Caenorhabditis elegans: one gene and its partner. The protein of the gene in region 2 interacts with the protein of the main gene of each other region in a pairwise test. Each region holds a gene or a part of one and is shown on either strand. Other genes may lie near its edges.

The links.
Region 1: the proteins of tni-1 (region 2) and R02F11.1 interact in a two-hybrid assay, tested with the Caenorhabditis elegans proteins (one large-scale study listed by BioGRID).

Annotation. Positions count from the first base shown.
Region 1 is NC_003283.11:4,797,507-4,804,156, reverse strand, and holds R02F11.1 (CC domain-containing protein), read right to left. Parts: upstream 3,064-6,650; 5' UTR 3,010-3,063; coding exon 2,928-3,009; intron 2,884-2,927; coding exon 2,716-2,883; intron 2,028-2,715; coding exon 1,747-2,027; 3' UTR 1,473-1,746; downstream 1-1,472. Other genes in the region: R02F11.3 (Cation efflux protein cytoplasmic domain-containing protein), read left to right, coding at 1-105, 472-890, 1,076-1,237.
Region 2 is NC_003284.9:11,373,723-11,380,372, reverse strand, and holds tni-1 (Troponin I 1), read left to right. Parts: upstream 1-2,902; 5' UTR 2,903-2,911; coding exon 2,912-2,971; intron 2,972-3,017; coding exon 3,018-3,143; intron 3,144-3,187; coding exon 3,188-3,314; intron 3,315-3,360; coding exon 3,361-3,505; intron 3,506-3,588; coding exon 3,589-3,736; intron 3,737-4,065; coding exon 4,066-4,212; 3' UTR 4,213-4,486; downstream 4,487-6,650. Other genes in the region: F42E11.3 (Brp/Blh family beta-carotene 15,15'-monooxygenase), read left to right, coding at 4,764-4,863, 4,907-5,040, 5,085-5,254, 5,301-5,379, 5,428-5,574, 5,628-5,774; ttyh-1 (Protein tweety homolog 1), read right to left, coding at 6,350-6,416. UniProt on the Caenorhabditis elegans protein: Troponin I is the inhibitory subunit of troponin, the thin filament regulatory complex which confers calcium-sensitivity to muscle actomyosin ATPase activity.

The DNA of each region.
Region 1 (6,650 bases), on a different chromosome or scaffold from region 2:
CATTGTCCTTGATTTTGATCAGTGTGATCATGGGAATGGCGTCGATTCAATTGATCATTGCGTCGGTGAGAGGAATTCATGATGGAATTCAATTCCATCTTTATGGTAAGAAATGCTGAATTGAATTTTGCATGGAAAGACTCAAAATAGTCTGAAATTCTGATTAAAAACATTGTTTGAAATTGCTCCAAACCTAGGAGCCCTTCTAATTTTCGAACCAATCAGCGTCTTCGAACTCATTTTGTCTGATTGGTTGGAAACTGAGCTGATTAGTCTTGCGGTTCTCAGTTTTGGAGGAAATCTTCAATATATTCGCCCACAAAGTGATGAACTTATAAAATTTTTAAAAAAGTGAATTCAAAGTTTTCCTACAGGATGTACTAGCTCTACCTCTGATCCTTCCCTGATCCTTCAATCTATGCTCCCCTCCCTCAGCAATGGATTTTAAGTTACAATCCTAAAAATTTCCAGGAATCGGTGAAGAACCCAAGCTCAACGTCACCATCACCTCTGTAGTCATCATGGTGTCAACAGTTCTCGTCAAGCTGTCCCTCTACCTATTCTGTAAACGATACAAGGAACCATCGGTCAACGTGCTCGCAATGGACCATCGCAACGATTGCATCTCCAACACGGTCGCCCTGATCTGTGCCTGGCTCGGCACCAAGTACTCGTACTACTTTGACCCAGCCGGTGCTATTGTGGTTTCTATGTACATTTTGTATACCTGGGTGCAAACTGGACGGGAGCATTTGGCAAAGCTGTCGGGTAAAACTGCAGAGCCAGAGTTCATTAATAGGATCATCAAAGTCTGCTTGGATCATGATGCTCGGATTTCACATATTGATACGGTTTATGTGTACCATTTTGGAAGCAAGTTTTTAGTTGAGGTAAGAATATTTTTTCTCTGGATTCTTCAAGCCTAAGCCTGAACCTAAGCCTGAGCCTAAGCCCAAGCCTAAGCCTAGGCCTAAACCTACACCTAGGCCTAACATAAGCCCGTATCGCACATTTCTGAAGAGGCTGAGCTTACAACTGAATTATTGTGCTACTCTAAAATCTGTAATATTTCCAGGTGCACATTGTGCTCGACGAGAATATGATCCTCAAAGAATCCCATGACATCAGTGAGACCCTCCAATCAAACATCGAAAGCTTGCCGGAAGTTGAACGTGCATTTGTTCATACAGACTATGATTATGATCATCATCCTCACGACGAGCATAAAATTGTTTGAATTAGTTATTATTAGAGCACATTTGCATTATGATTTTGTTTTTTTCTTCTTCCCAGTGCCCCCCTACTTTAAGTTTTATTTCATATTTTTCCGGTTTCATGACAGAAATCATCAGCATCTCTCAATGTTTTTTTTTCGCATAATTAACTATACTTTTTTTTGTTTGAAATTTTGAAAATTTTGATTTGCAAACTATAATATTTTTTCTCACATATCGTCGTAGAGTGTCAAATGTTTCTTTTTTTATTTCATTAATTAAAATAAAATAATAAATAAACAAATTAAATTTAAAAACAATTCAAATATTTTTTTGGGATTTCGTTTGTTGTTGATGTTGTTGTCTTGGTGGTGGGAACGATTCGTTTCAAATAGATTAGAATAATTTAAAAGGAGCAGAGAGTCAGAGAACGGAGAAGGAAAGTACAATATATTAAAAAAATATATAAAAATATAGAAAGACTGGGGGCAATTTGTCGCATGAAAAAAGGGAAAAATTGAATTCCATTTTTTTACTTTCCACTGCTCAAATAGCACAAGTTTCCAGCTCCACAGGTGTATCCAGTTGGGCAGACTCCGTTGACACATGATCCGAGGACTCCTCCGGATCCGAGTGGGCAACAGTAGTTGTTGGTGTTGCACATGAATCCGGTTGGGCAGACCTGGTTTACACATGGTCCCGTGCTGTTTCCGGATTGGCATCTGCAGCAGTAGTTGTTGCTCGAGCAGAAGAATCCTTGTCCGCAGAGTCCTCCGAGGCAGGCGGCGACGGCTGGTCCTCCGGAGCAGGCGGCTGAAATTTTTGTTGGAATTAGACGACTTTCCACACCCATATTTGAACTCGTTCTGATACGAGCTAAAGATAGAAAAAGATAGGTTCGTGCGTGTTGTCCAAACCGCGCCGACTTCGTGAGACACAGAGCACAGCAGCACGCACCGAGCAAACGCAAACACCCCGCGAAACTTCGCAAATATTTTGTATTTATGTTGAGCCGTATAAGAAGGTGTCTCCATCACCGCAAAAGGGACTAAGCAGCGTCTCCCCGGGAGTTGTAGCAATCATTAGGTAATCAGTGTGTGTGTTTGCTCGAACCGGAAGGGAACGGCGGGGACACTTGAGAAATTGGAACGGTGACTGGATTCTTGATATCTCTTGATATGATTTTGATAAGGTTTGAGGTTTGAACTAAGGGAGATCTAAATTTTAAAGGTGTCAGCATTCAACTTTTATCTCATATTCCTTACTAAAGGGTTAAAGGACGATGCGTTACTTAAGCGATATGAACGGATCTGGGTACACTGAACCTAGGGAAGCCAGGACTTGAACTCGTGACCTCTAGATTGCTAATTATCAATACTACCGACTGAGCTATCCCCGCTCCTAGTTTTTAATAATTGCGACGTTTTCTTTAACATCTCTGATTTATGAAAAAAAGCAATTTTTCAACTTCCTACACAACCTTCATATTAAAAAAACTTACTATCAAGGTTATTGTTTCCTGGGCAACAGCATCCTTGGACACAGACAGATGCGACAGAATATCTCTGGCACTGGGACGAGGAACTGCATGAGGAATAGCAATTGGATGGGCATCCAAACTGCCTCTTCTGACGGAATACTGTGGAGTTGGCTTCACGAATTTCTGGAGCTGAAAGTCGGATTTTAGGAGTTGAAGAGTGAGTGACAACATACCTTCTTTCGCGTCTTCTGCGTTCAGTACCCAGAAGCAGGCGAGGGGGAGGATAATGCAGAAGGAGATGGCGAGTTGCTTCATAATGAGTTATTTGAAGGTTTTAAGACAAGTAGGAACACCTGACCCTGCGCTGGCCTGAAATTTTAATAATAATAATAATATTATATCAGGAAACTAATAAAGATTCAGATAAATAATAAAGAGTAATATGTAAGTAAAACTGTAAAATTAGTAGGTAGAGTAAGGTAACTCAAAAATAAATCTGAAGATTTGTTCTCAAGGAGAAGCCCGATGGAGCAGCAAGACTAAATGGTCATTTGTACGTAACAGTGAGGAGAGAGGGGAGGGGACACTAACTGACCGTCTTCTCTTTTTCGTCTCCCTCCGACTTTCTGTGTTAGCTTAGACTCTGGCGCCTCCGCGCGGCGACGTGCTCTTTGCGCGCGGCACGAAACTCTCTCATTTCCCCCATCGGGCTCAGTCCAGTCTATGTGTTTGTAAAATGAAGTGGACGATTGATGTTCAAATACTTGAGTGACCCCACACACACACACACACATACACCAAAAGATTGTGAGCGCGCGCTTGTCAAAATGTCGTTCAACTTATCTTATCACGGTTGAAGCATATATAGAAACTTTCCAATTATATTCGGATTGCTAAGGTTTTTATGAAAAGCCCGGAGTCTGTGGTCAATGGAAAACATATAGCTTTCTAATAGTAAGAGCCTTTTGCTTCTTTAAATTTTTGCAATGCTTGATACTTAAATAGTAGTTAGGATGTTAGTTGATAGTTTTTTTAATGCTACAAGAAAAATTAGAATAGTTGAAAAAATGATTCCTACCGTATTTAGCATATTGGACATGAAACTCATTGATCTACTTAAGCGGCGTTTACTGTCTAACTGTAGATAAATATTTTGCACGTGTTTTGTCAGTTAATGACAGTTTTTTGATAGAACCGAAGGGAACAGAGATATAACAAAATAGAGCAAGGGTTGCATGTCTAATAGGGAAACTACGGTGTCTAGAAAATCTTAAAAACAGAGAACAGAGCAAAATCTGTTCCTGATGTGTGAGTAGCCGATTTGCCATCGGAAGAAAATTTGACTCTAAAGTGTCGGAGCACTGTGCTCTTTATACTCGGTGCACTCGAGTGGCAGCGGTGGCGTCAGAGAGACAGCGAGAGCTGCCGGGCCAACTGACCGGCAGGTAAGAGTATCCGGTTTTGGGATGCAACACACGCGGGTGGTGTAGACCACGGCCGGAGACGGGAAGCCATCATCCTTGAAGAGGCAACTTCTCAGAGAGAAAGTGAGCACATAATACACCTCCATTATGAGAGCACAACTCTCTTTTTTTCCCAACACTCGTCCAAACGCGGTTTAAAAAAAACACGTGGAATATGCTTTGTGACGTCTGGGAATTATTGGAACAAGAAACATGGAAGTCATGCGAGAGTCTTCGAACAACTTAAGATGTACGCATAATGTCTCAGTGGAGACATCGCGATCGAGGTCCGGACACAATGAACCAGTGGTGGCCGCCAGCAATCTAGAGGTCACCAGTTCAAGTCCTACCTCCCACTAGGTCCATCCAGCCTTAAGTGGGAAGTAGAGCAATCCACGACTGGACTATTGGTCACAGTCCCCGGCTCGAACAAGGCTTAAATTGGAGCTGGACTGCTGTGTCTGACCTTTAGATACGCAGAAAAAGCTCAGTTTTAATTGCCGTACATATTCCAGAGTTGTGTCTGTTTTGAGCTTGTTCTGCATATGGGACGCCGAGGCATCAAAGTGCCTACCTACGGCAAATTAGCCGTGCTCAACAAACTCCAAAAAATTAATACTCATTGATGCTTTTTGGAGCACCAAAACTACTGAATTCTGAACAATCACCTGGATTCCGAATAAGTTCCGTGTAGTATGTTTGCTTATGCATCTAAATAACTCAATTTTGTAATTTTTTGGCGAAAAAATCAATAGTTTTAGTCAAAATTGTACTGTCAAATTTTTGACGTGTGCGACAAATTTTGAAATTTGCCGAGCTCGGCAAATTTGGCAAATCTACTTTTTTGAAATTTCCCGTGCTCGGCAAATTCGGCAAATTCGGTAAATTTGCCGCACACCCCTGGTAGGCACGCAGGTAAACAGGATAATCTACAGTTTCATTTTTTTAATTGCGATTTCAAACTATTTCTCTACAAGTATGTATAATAGGGAAAATATGGCAGTTCGGACATTTTAAACGATTTTTTTTGCCTGGAAATTGGGAGGATTTCTTTCCTCAGGTAATTTGCGATATGTCTATCAGGAACTTCAACTTTTCTACCCACTCGAACAAGTTTTATTTTTAGTGTTCCTGGATAAACATTGAACATCTGGAGAGCAGTGAAGTTCCGACTTTGTCCCAAAATAGTAGAAGCACGCTCCTCTCCCTACACTCTTATCCTATATCCCTTATCACTGTTCGATTTTTCGAAAAATTTCAACATTCCGATTGTGTCGACAGGCTTGTACTACCAAGCTCTGCATACAAACTTTTGAGAGAGAGAGAGAGAGAGAGAGAGAGAGAGTGCACATAAATGTTTCTCTGCGCACAAATTTCGGACAGTCCACTCTTTTCCCCCCGCCCGTCCATTTATCAGTGATAAACTCTCGGGAATTTTGTATGTGTGCTCAAGTGATCCTGCTTCTCTAAAGGGCGACTCTCTCTCGCATGTCTCCCCAGTCGTTCAGAGCAAACACGGATCATCATCATTATCATCCTCATCATCATCAGCCAACTTCTGCGAAAGAATGAGCCTCACCCGAGTGTTTTGCATGAGATCCGATGATTCCGTTGCCGCCGCCGAAATGCCATTCTTTGACCGACGCTGCCGCCCGCCGCAGCAAACATTTTGGTTATGATTCGATGAATGCGGGGAAAAGTGTACACATAAAGAAATTACAAAAGGGAATCCGGAAATTTTCTTCCACGGAAATGAGGAAAAAGCTCATTTGTATAAGTTACACGATTTTTTTGTAAGGTTTTTGTTAGAACAAGTGCCGGTGTGCAGACTAGAGTCTTGGACTTTTTGAGCCCGATAACTTCAACCGGCTAGTTAGACATTTTTAAAGTTTTGATAACCAGCAATCAGTCAATATTTAACCTCAAAAAAAACATTAGTCACATAGAATGCATTTAACGCATTTCTGAAAAAATTATTTGAAAGAGAAATTTTTAATTTGGTCAGTGCGAAAAATTTAGCTACAGAAGAGCACTTTGAACTAGAAAAAGGTCGATATGATATTTTTTCATTGAAATTTTTCACTAATTAATAGACACCTAAAACTGGTTCAAGTAAAACAATAATTTATTGGCGTCTAATTAGAGGGTAACATATTTTGGAAGTTTTTCAAGAACTTTTCTTTCGAAAAAAAAAGAATTTTTCATCCAAGTCAACCAAAAAATTAGTTACGTTTTTTCACTATCTATAGATCTCTTCTATAGGCACCTAAAACTGCTTCTAACGTGGATTTGCGCAAATTTTTGATAATTTTAACAGCGCACAAGGACAGCACATTTTGAAAGGTTTTTGGAACATTTTTTTTGAAAAAATCTAGAAAAAAATTTTTTCTAACTACCAGTTGGACACATTTTTGTAATCCTGCCTTAATCTTTGTAACCCTGCTAGAAAAGTTAAATTTTTATAATATATTATAATTTTTATTTTAAATTGTT
Region 2 (6,650 bases):
TAGTCTGTTCATCATAAAAAATCTAATCATTTGCAGCATTGAGGTTTCGGTTTCACCATATTCACCTTGTGTGAAAGTCGTTTTCAAAAAGTCGATTCCGTGATGTTTGCGTATATCGTATTGTCCCTATTAGTATTGTATGCAATTAAAATTTTTCAATTTCTCATTTTGAGTGCAAGTCTAATAGGGAAAATGTGGTAAGTAACAAAACATAGTGGTTGCATCCATATCGTTGAGTTTTATGTCGACTCTCAAAATTAGTAATGAAATATATTAGCTAATTGCCATATTAAGCCGGTTAATAAAATAATTTAAACTATATTTTGGAAAGAGAAAAAAATTGATATTTTCATTTTTAAGTCATGAGTTAATTCGAAGAATTTTCTCACTGGAACTATTCCACATTTTATTCCGTCAATATAGCAACGGTGGGGAAATCGAAAGATCACTAATACAAGTTTTGTTACATGTAAAACTTTTACACGTTTTTAATGAATTCAAATGAATTGTTCATTGATTCAATATTCTTCTCACATATCAACAGTTTTTATTTTCACCTCCCAGTTTTTTCAAATTTAATAGACATAGATAAAAAGTTCGGCCTTTTTCTATCTGTGTTTTCCATTGACACATTTGATCAGGAAGCTAATACAACATATGGGTGGGTGGGCAGAGAGGTCCGCCACGTTTTATTTTTGCTGTTACTGCGTCGAATTGAAGGGCACATCAAAATGAGTATTACAACACGATCCACGGAGCTTAGCGTTGCTCTTCTCGAAACAAATGATCAGAGGAGTAGAAGACACAACGCGATTCCAGGAGAGCACTGAAATCCCATCAAAACGTTGCCCGAGCTCTGATGTCTTTAATGTCCAGCTCCAGGCCGCCACACATTGTACTATTCGGCGAGCCAGCCAACTGACACCAGCCGTGTGTCCTGTCTTTTGCTCTCCTGCCACCTCCTCCAGTTTTTTGATGCTACTTCAATACATTCTGTCTGATCGCAGCCAAGCACTCGCAAATCAAATCTCAGCAACCCCCGCAATGCGACGGCACATCGAAAGCTATTCCCATTCTTCATTCCAGAATCTTCTTATTTCTTTTTCTTCCCCTTTCCTTCTTCTTCGTCATCTTATGCTTCTTCTTTCTATCCCTTTTCCCATTTATGTCTTCTAGTTCAACTCATTTCGTTTTCAGCCCATTCAACTGTGCTTCTTCTGCATATTTTAATTTCAAAACTTACTTTCAGAGTTTTGTTTCTTTTCCATTACAAAAACTCGAGACTTGTCTGGAATGAGAATCAAATCATATACTTTTTAATAAATATATTTTTGCTCACTCAATCTATGATGAAAAAAGAAACTACTTCAACCAAAACTGAGTATTCAGTATTCTCTCCCCTTTTCCTGCCTCTAGCTACATAATAAGACCTTCATTAAATTTTTATTTGTGCTCACTTCTCGTTTTGAAGTCTTTCTATTCACTCACATCAGTCGTCGTTTTTCACGCACTACTACTTCAAATTTGTATGTTTTGAGCAACGTAAAATTGTTTCTACCACCAATTCTTAGATCCGAAAATTTCATTTTTAGTATTATAATTTGATTACTATTCGCTGTCAGATTCATGACCGAGGCTAACAAAACACGCAATGAAACGCCTTTCAAGAAAGCCATTACACGATAATTACCGCTTAAGCTGTCAGTTTCGGAAGCCCTCGCGAAAAAATGGTGTATGCTCATTTTGTTCTCAGAGCTTCTGCAGAGCACTTCACTCACTTCGAATTTTCCTTTCAACTACAATTATTGTCCTTCTATCCACCACCTTTCCTTGCTTCCTAACAACATCCGCTCAACTAACAACTCTCACCTTCACGTTTTTGGTTTCAAAAACTAAAACACTCGCACTGAATCAGTTGGTGATGGCCATTCCACCATAAATTCATTGTTTAATTTTAACTTCCCCTATAGCTTCCATTACCTTTTTTCACCTAACATGTCTTTGCGCTTCTAACTTCGAAAATCTTATGTTTTCCGATATTATTTTCTCCCTCTGTTCACTTCGCTCGCACTTGCACTGTCCCAATTTAAACATCACCACTCGCACATAACCACGTTAAAAATTGTAATGTTTGTTATTTGTAAAATTTTGCAGATTGAAATTTTCAGAATGTATTTAAAATTTCAAAGTACTGCGATAGGCGTACAGGTTATTGTAATATACTCCTACAGTGGTTCGAACAATACATTACAACTAAACTGACAAAGTGTTTATTGGAGCACCAAAATTGGTTCATTACCAACAATAACAATTTTGAAACCATGTCTGAAATATATGACGATCATGTACCTAATGTGTTTTTTTTCTGAAAAACAGTCATAAATTTGGTAATCAATTGCTCCAGAATCTCTTGGCTGAATACAAGGTAACCAACACAATGTTGTCGTACTTCTTCACTTCTTACATCAACCTGCCAAAGTGAGCGCATGCATTTCAGTCATTTTTTATCTTTTTAATATACACTTACTTTCAAATTTTTGACTAGAAAGTTAGTTGGATCTGCACTAATGTTTCAATCGCTTAATAACACACCCATCACTAAGTCTTCCTTTATTTATTTTTTTTTCGAACAACATTCACTGAGCTGATAAAAATACCGTTTGTGTGCGTATCGTTCCAGCAAACCTCACACCCAAACACTTTAGACTCATTCCGTTTCATGGTTTTGCCTCTTCTATCAATCTGTTTTCAATTTGAATCCCCTTTCTCACGTTTACACACACCCTTGAATACCTTCACACCCACCGTACCTCTAACGCTTTCCACCAATTGCTTGGCACATCCCATAGTAGTCGTAACCTTTGTTTTCTGTAAATGTGCTTCTAATCAATTTGCATTTAAGGACTTGAAAATGAGCCAAATTGATGAGAACATTCGCTACGGCGGAGCTGCCAACGAAACCGATGGCGAGGTAAACAAAACAAAGTCATTTGTGTTTTTGAAACGATATTGTTCAGGATGCCCAACGAAAAGCCCAAGAACGCGAAGCCAAAAAGGCCGAGGTGCGCAAGCGCCTTGAAGAAGCAGGACAAAAGAAACAGAAGAAAGGATTTTTGACTCCAGAAAGAAAGAAGAAGCTCCGCGTAAGAGAACATTTGACTTTCAACACTTACAGATTCATTTTCAGAAGCTTCTTATGAACAAGGCTGCTGAGGATCTTAAGACACAGCAATTGCGGAAGGAACAAGAAAGAGTCAAGGTCCTTGCTGAAAGAACCGTTGCTCTTCCAAATGTTGACAGCATTGATGATCACGGTTCGTTCAGTGCTTTAGGCAACAAACAAAATTGTGTATATTTCAGCTAAGCTCGAGGCTATCTACAATGATTTGTTCTCCCGCCTCTGCAACTTGGAGGAAGAGAAATATGATATCAACCACATCACCACAGAGACTGAAACTACAATTAATCAACTCAACATTGAGGTTAACGATCTTCGTGGAAAATTGTATGTCTTTAAATAAACCCAGCAGTGCTAGTGTGTTTTCACCTGCTCCAATTCCGCATGACATGAGAAAAAACTATTTTCAGCGTAAAACCATCATTGAAGAAGGTGTCCAAGTATGACAACAAGTTCAAGAAGATGGCTGAAGCCAAGAAGGAAGATGGAAGCAAGAACTTGAGAAATAATCTCAAGACAGTAAAGAAAGAGAGCGTCTTCACTCAAATTGCCAACAAGGTAAGTTTGTAATAAGTTTAACTGGAATATAAAACTAGTTTTTACTTGAACTGTCAAGAAAAACATGTTAACAAAAAGTAGCCTGCCAGAAAAATTTCTAGAACACATATTTTGTGTTCACAATATTGAAAACTGGCTGAAACAATACATCAATATAGAACATTAAATACAATGTTTAAAATTGACATTTAGAATCCAAAAAACTCAAAATAATAAATTATATCAATTTGTAGTACTCAGAAACATATACTTATTTTATCAACATAACTTTAAAAATTGTTTTCAAATTGATATTTGATGAATTGAATTTACAATAATCCACATTTCAGAAGAAATCTGACAAGCCAGAATGGTCCAAGAAGAAGGAAGAGAAGAAGGAAGAAAGCGCCCCAGAACCAGTTATTGAGCCAGTTGAGGAAGAAGAAACTGCTGCTTCTGAGGGAGAAGAAGAAGAAGAAGAAGCCGACGAGGAATAAATACCGGCATTGTTGTCATTATCTTGTTCACTGAATCTAACTAATCATTCTCGCGTATAATACATTTCATCAATTCAATTTATGTGCCTTTTGAGTTTGAGTATTCTTAAAATTTTGTGCATGTAAAAGGTATTTGGCCCTTTTTTATAAATCTTCATTTGTTTTGTTCTGCCGTTATACTGTTTCAAAATTTCCAGTATACATTCTTTGTATTCTTTCAGTAATATTCCATCTTATTCTTTTCTGCATATTCGCAATAAATGAAGTTATCACCAACCCGGAATTACAGAGCAAAACTCGAAAGCAGCACAGAAAGGCATTTCTATTTGTGTGAATTATCCTAACGATTTTCAGCTGTCAAACTAACAAATGTAAATGAAACAGGGAATAAGGCAAAAACACCTGGAAACGCAAATCGCCGCCTTCTCCGACGTCACCAAGTGTAACCGGGTTGAGACGAAATAAAAGGAGCTCGATAAGCCATTTTGATTCTGAGTTAAACTCGAGATTGGTTTAATATGGAAAGAGTTCAATTTTCATCCTACGATGAAATGCTCCACTACAACTCACGAGTTGCGAATCAATTCCCAGGAGTTGATTTGAACGTTTTTCGGAAGATTCACTATCTGGAACTTCTGTCACAAATGTTTGGTATGTTAGTTCACAATTTTTTTAATACATTTATAGTTTTTAGGATTCCTATTTTACACTTTCTACCTGATAATTTTTCTGGTTCACGGAAAAACATTCTTCATCTCCGAGCACACATTCAAAGCGATCTTCATTATTCAAATGATCACTTTCGGCGCGGCACTGGTCATTCAGAAGGTATTCAATTTTAGTTTTAAAACTGTAGCATCACACAATTTCAGTTTTCCTTTATGGTCAACTCGGTAGAATATGTTACGTACTCAACATTTCCATTTATTCCAAAGTTTGTGATCTCCATTTGTGATCGGCTAGTAACGGCTCAAATGCCTTTGTATTGGTTTGTTGTCAGTGCTTTTCTCATAATTCAAATTGCCCAATTCGCTAATCAAAAGTATGTGTTTCTGTCAAAACAACATTCTAATAAATACATTTTTCAGTCCACGCGGAATTAAACTGGCACATACCTACTTGATACCTTACGGAATAATCATTACCCTCATTTCCTTCATTACCCCGGTAATATTTTCAAGAGAAGCTCAGAAACTAGGAAATCGTTGTTTTCAGGATCATATGAAACTTTTTATGATCGTCGTCTGCTTTCTAATCTGGTGGATTTATCGAAAGCATATGATTGCCCAGTTGTACAGCCAAGACATGACCGCCCGCGACGTTTTGAATATGCGCCGGATGAACATCTGGCTGTCCAGTCAGGTGAGTCTCATTAAAACTCAATGTGTTATATCAATAAATTGGATTTATTACAGATTTTCGGGACACTGATCTTCCATCTGCTCGACTTAGGAATGATGCTGGCTATCAAGTCGTCTGTGACTGACACTGGAAGACAAACCTATTACGGATTCTATAAGAATGAAGTAACAAACCATTCAACAAACGATAAAAATCAATGAATAAATTTTAGGTGTTTAAAGTGGTCACGTGGATTGCCACGTATGCAAATGCATTCATTTTTGCCTGGTCAACAATCAATTTCATCAAAACCGACGCTTCTAAGGAGCCGACCACACTTCCAGTTTTTGTTAATGGTTCGCTTCCAATGGATTCACTCTCGCGTCGCCCGTCTGCAATCTCTGCGTTTTCCATGAACAACGTGGCACCGATCACCCCACGTGGATCAAATATGTTGCATATTTAACGTTCATCCATTTATTAATATGTTTTAATCAAACAATAGATTTTAATAAAAACACAATTTTGTTTCATTCAGTACAAGTATGACAAAACCACCATCAACTTGATAGATAAATAGTAAACAAGGAATGGATCGAGCTGAGATAGGCAGATTGGATTTTGGGAAGCTGGTGGACATGGAGGATGGGATAGAAGGAATAAAAGCAATAAGCTCTGGTTCTACAGAAAACGTCGAGAACAATTTGAAAAGTGGACTTAAATGTTAAGGAAAGTGGGAAGGAGGATGAATAACCGCATTTGTGACAAATAAACTATTATAAAATTGATGACAGCTTTACATATTGTAACGATCTTCGTAATTGTTGTAAGGATGGTCCGACATGAATGGCTGGCGGCTCATGCTGAAAGCAAGACAATGCATATTTAGAAAACCTTGTAAACAATTAAAGCGTTTCAAGGTTGCTTCTCCAACATTTAGTTGTTACCATTTCAGTGCACAGAATAATTTGATCCTACTTGAATTTATGGCAGGATTTTAAAATTAGAGTATGTTACATTTCTCAGGAACATATCGTTTTGTATTTAACAATCTTGCTTTACAGCTTTTGGCTTATTTCTTATTGCCCTTTTTAAAG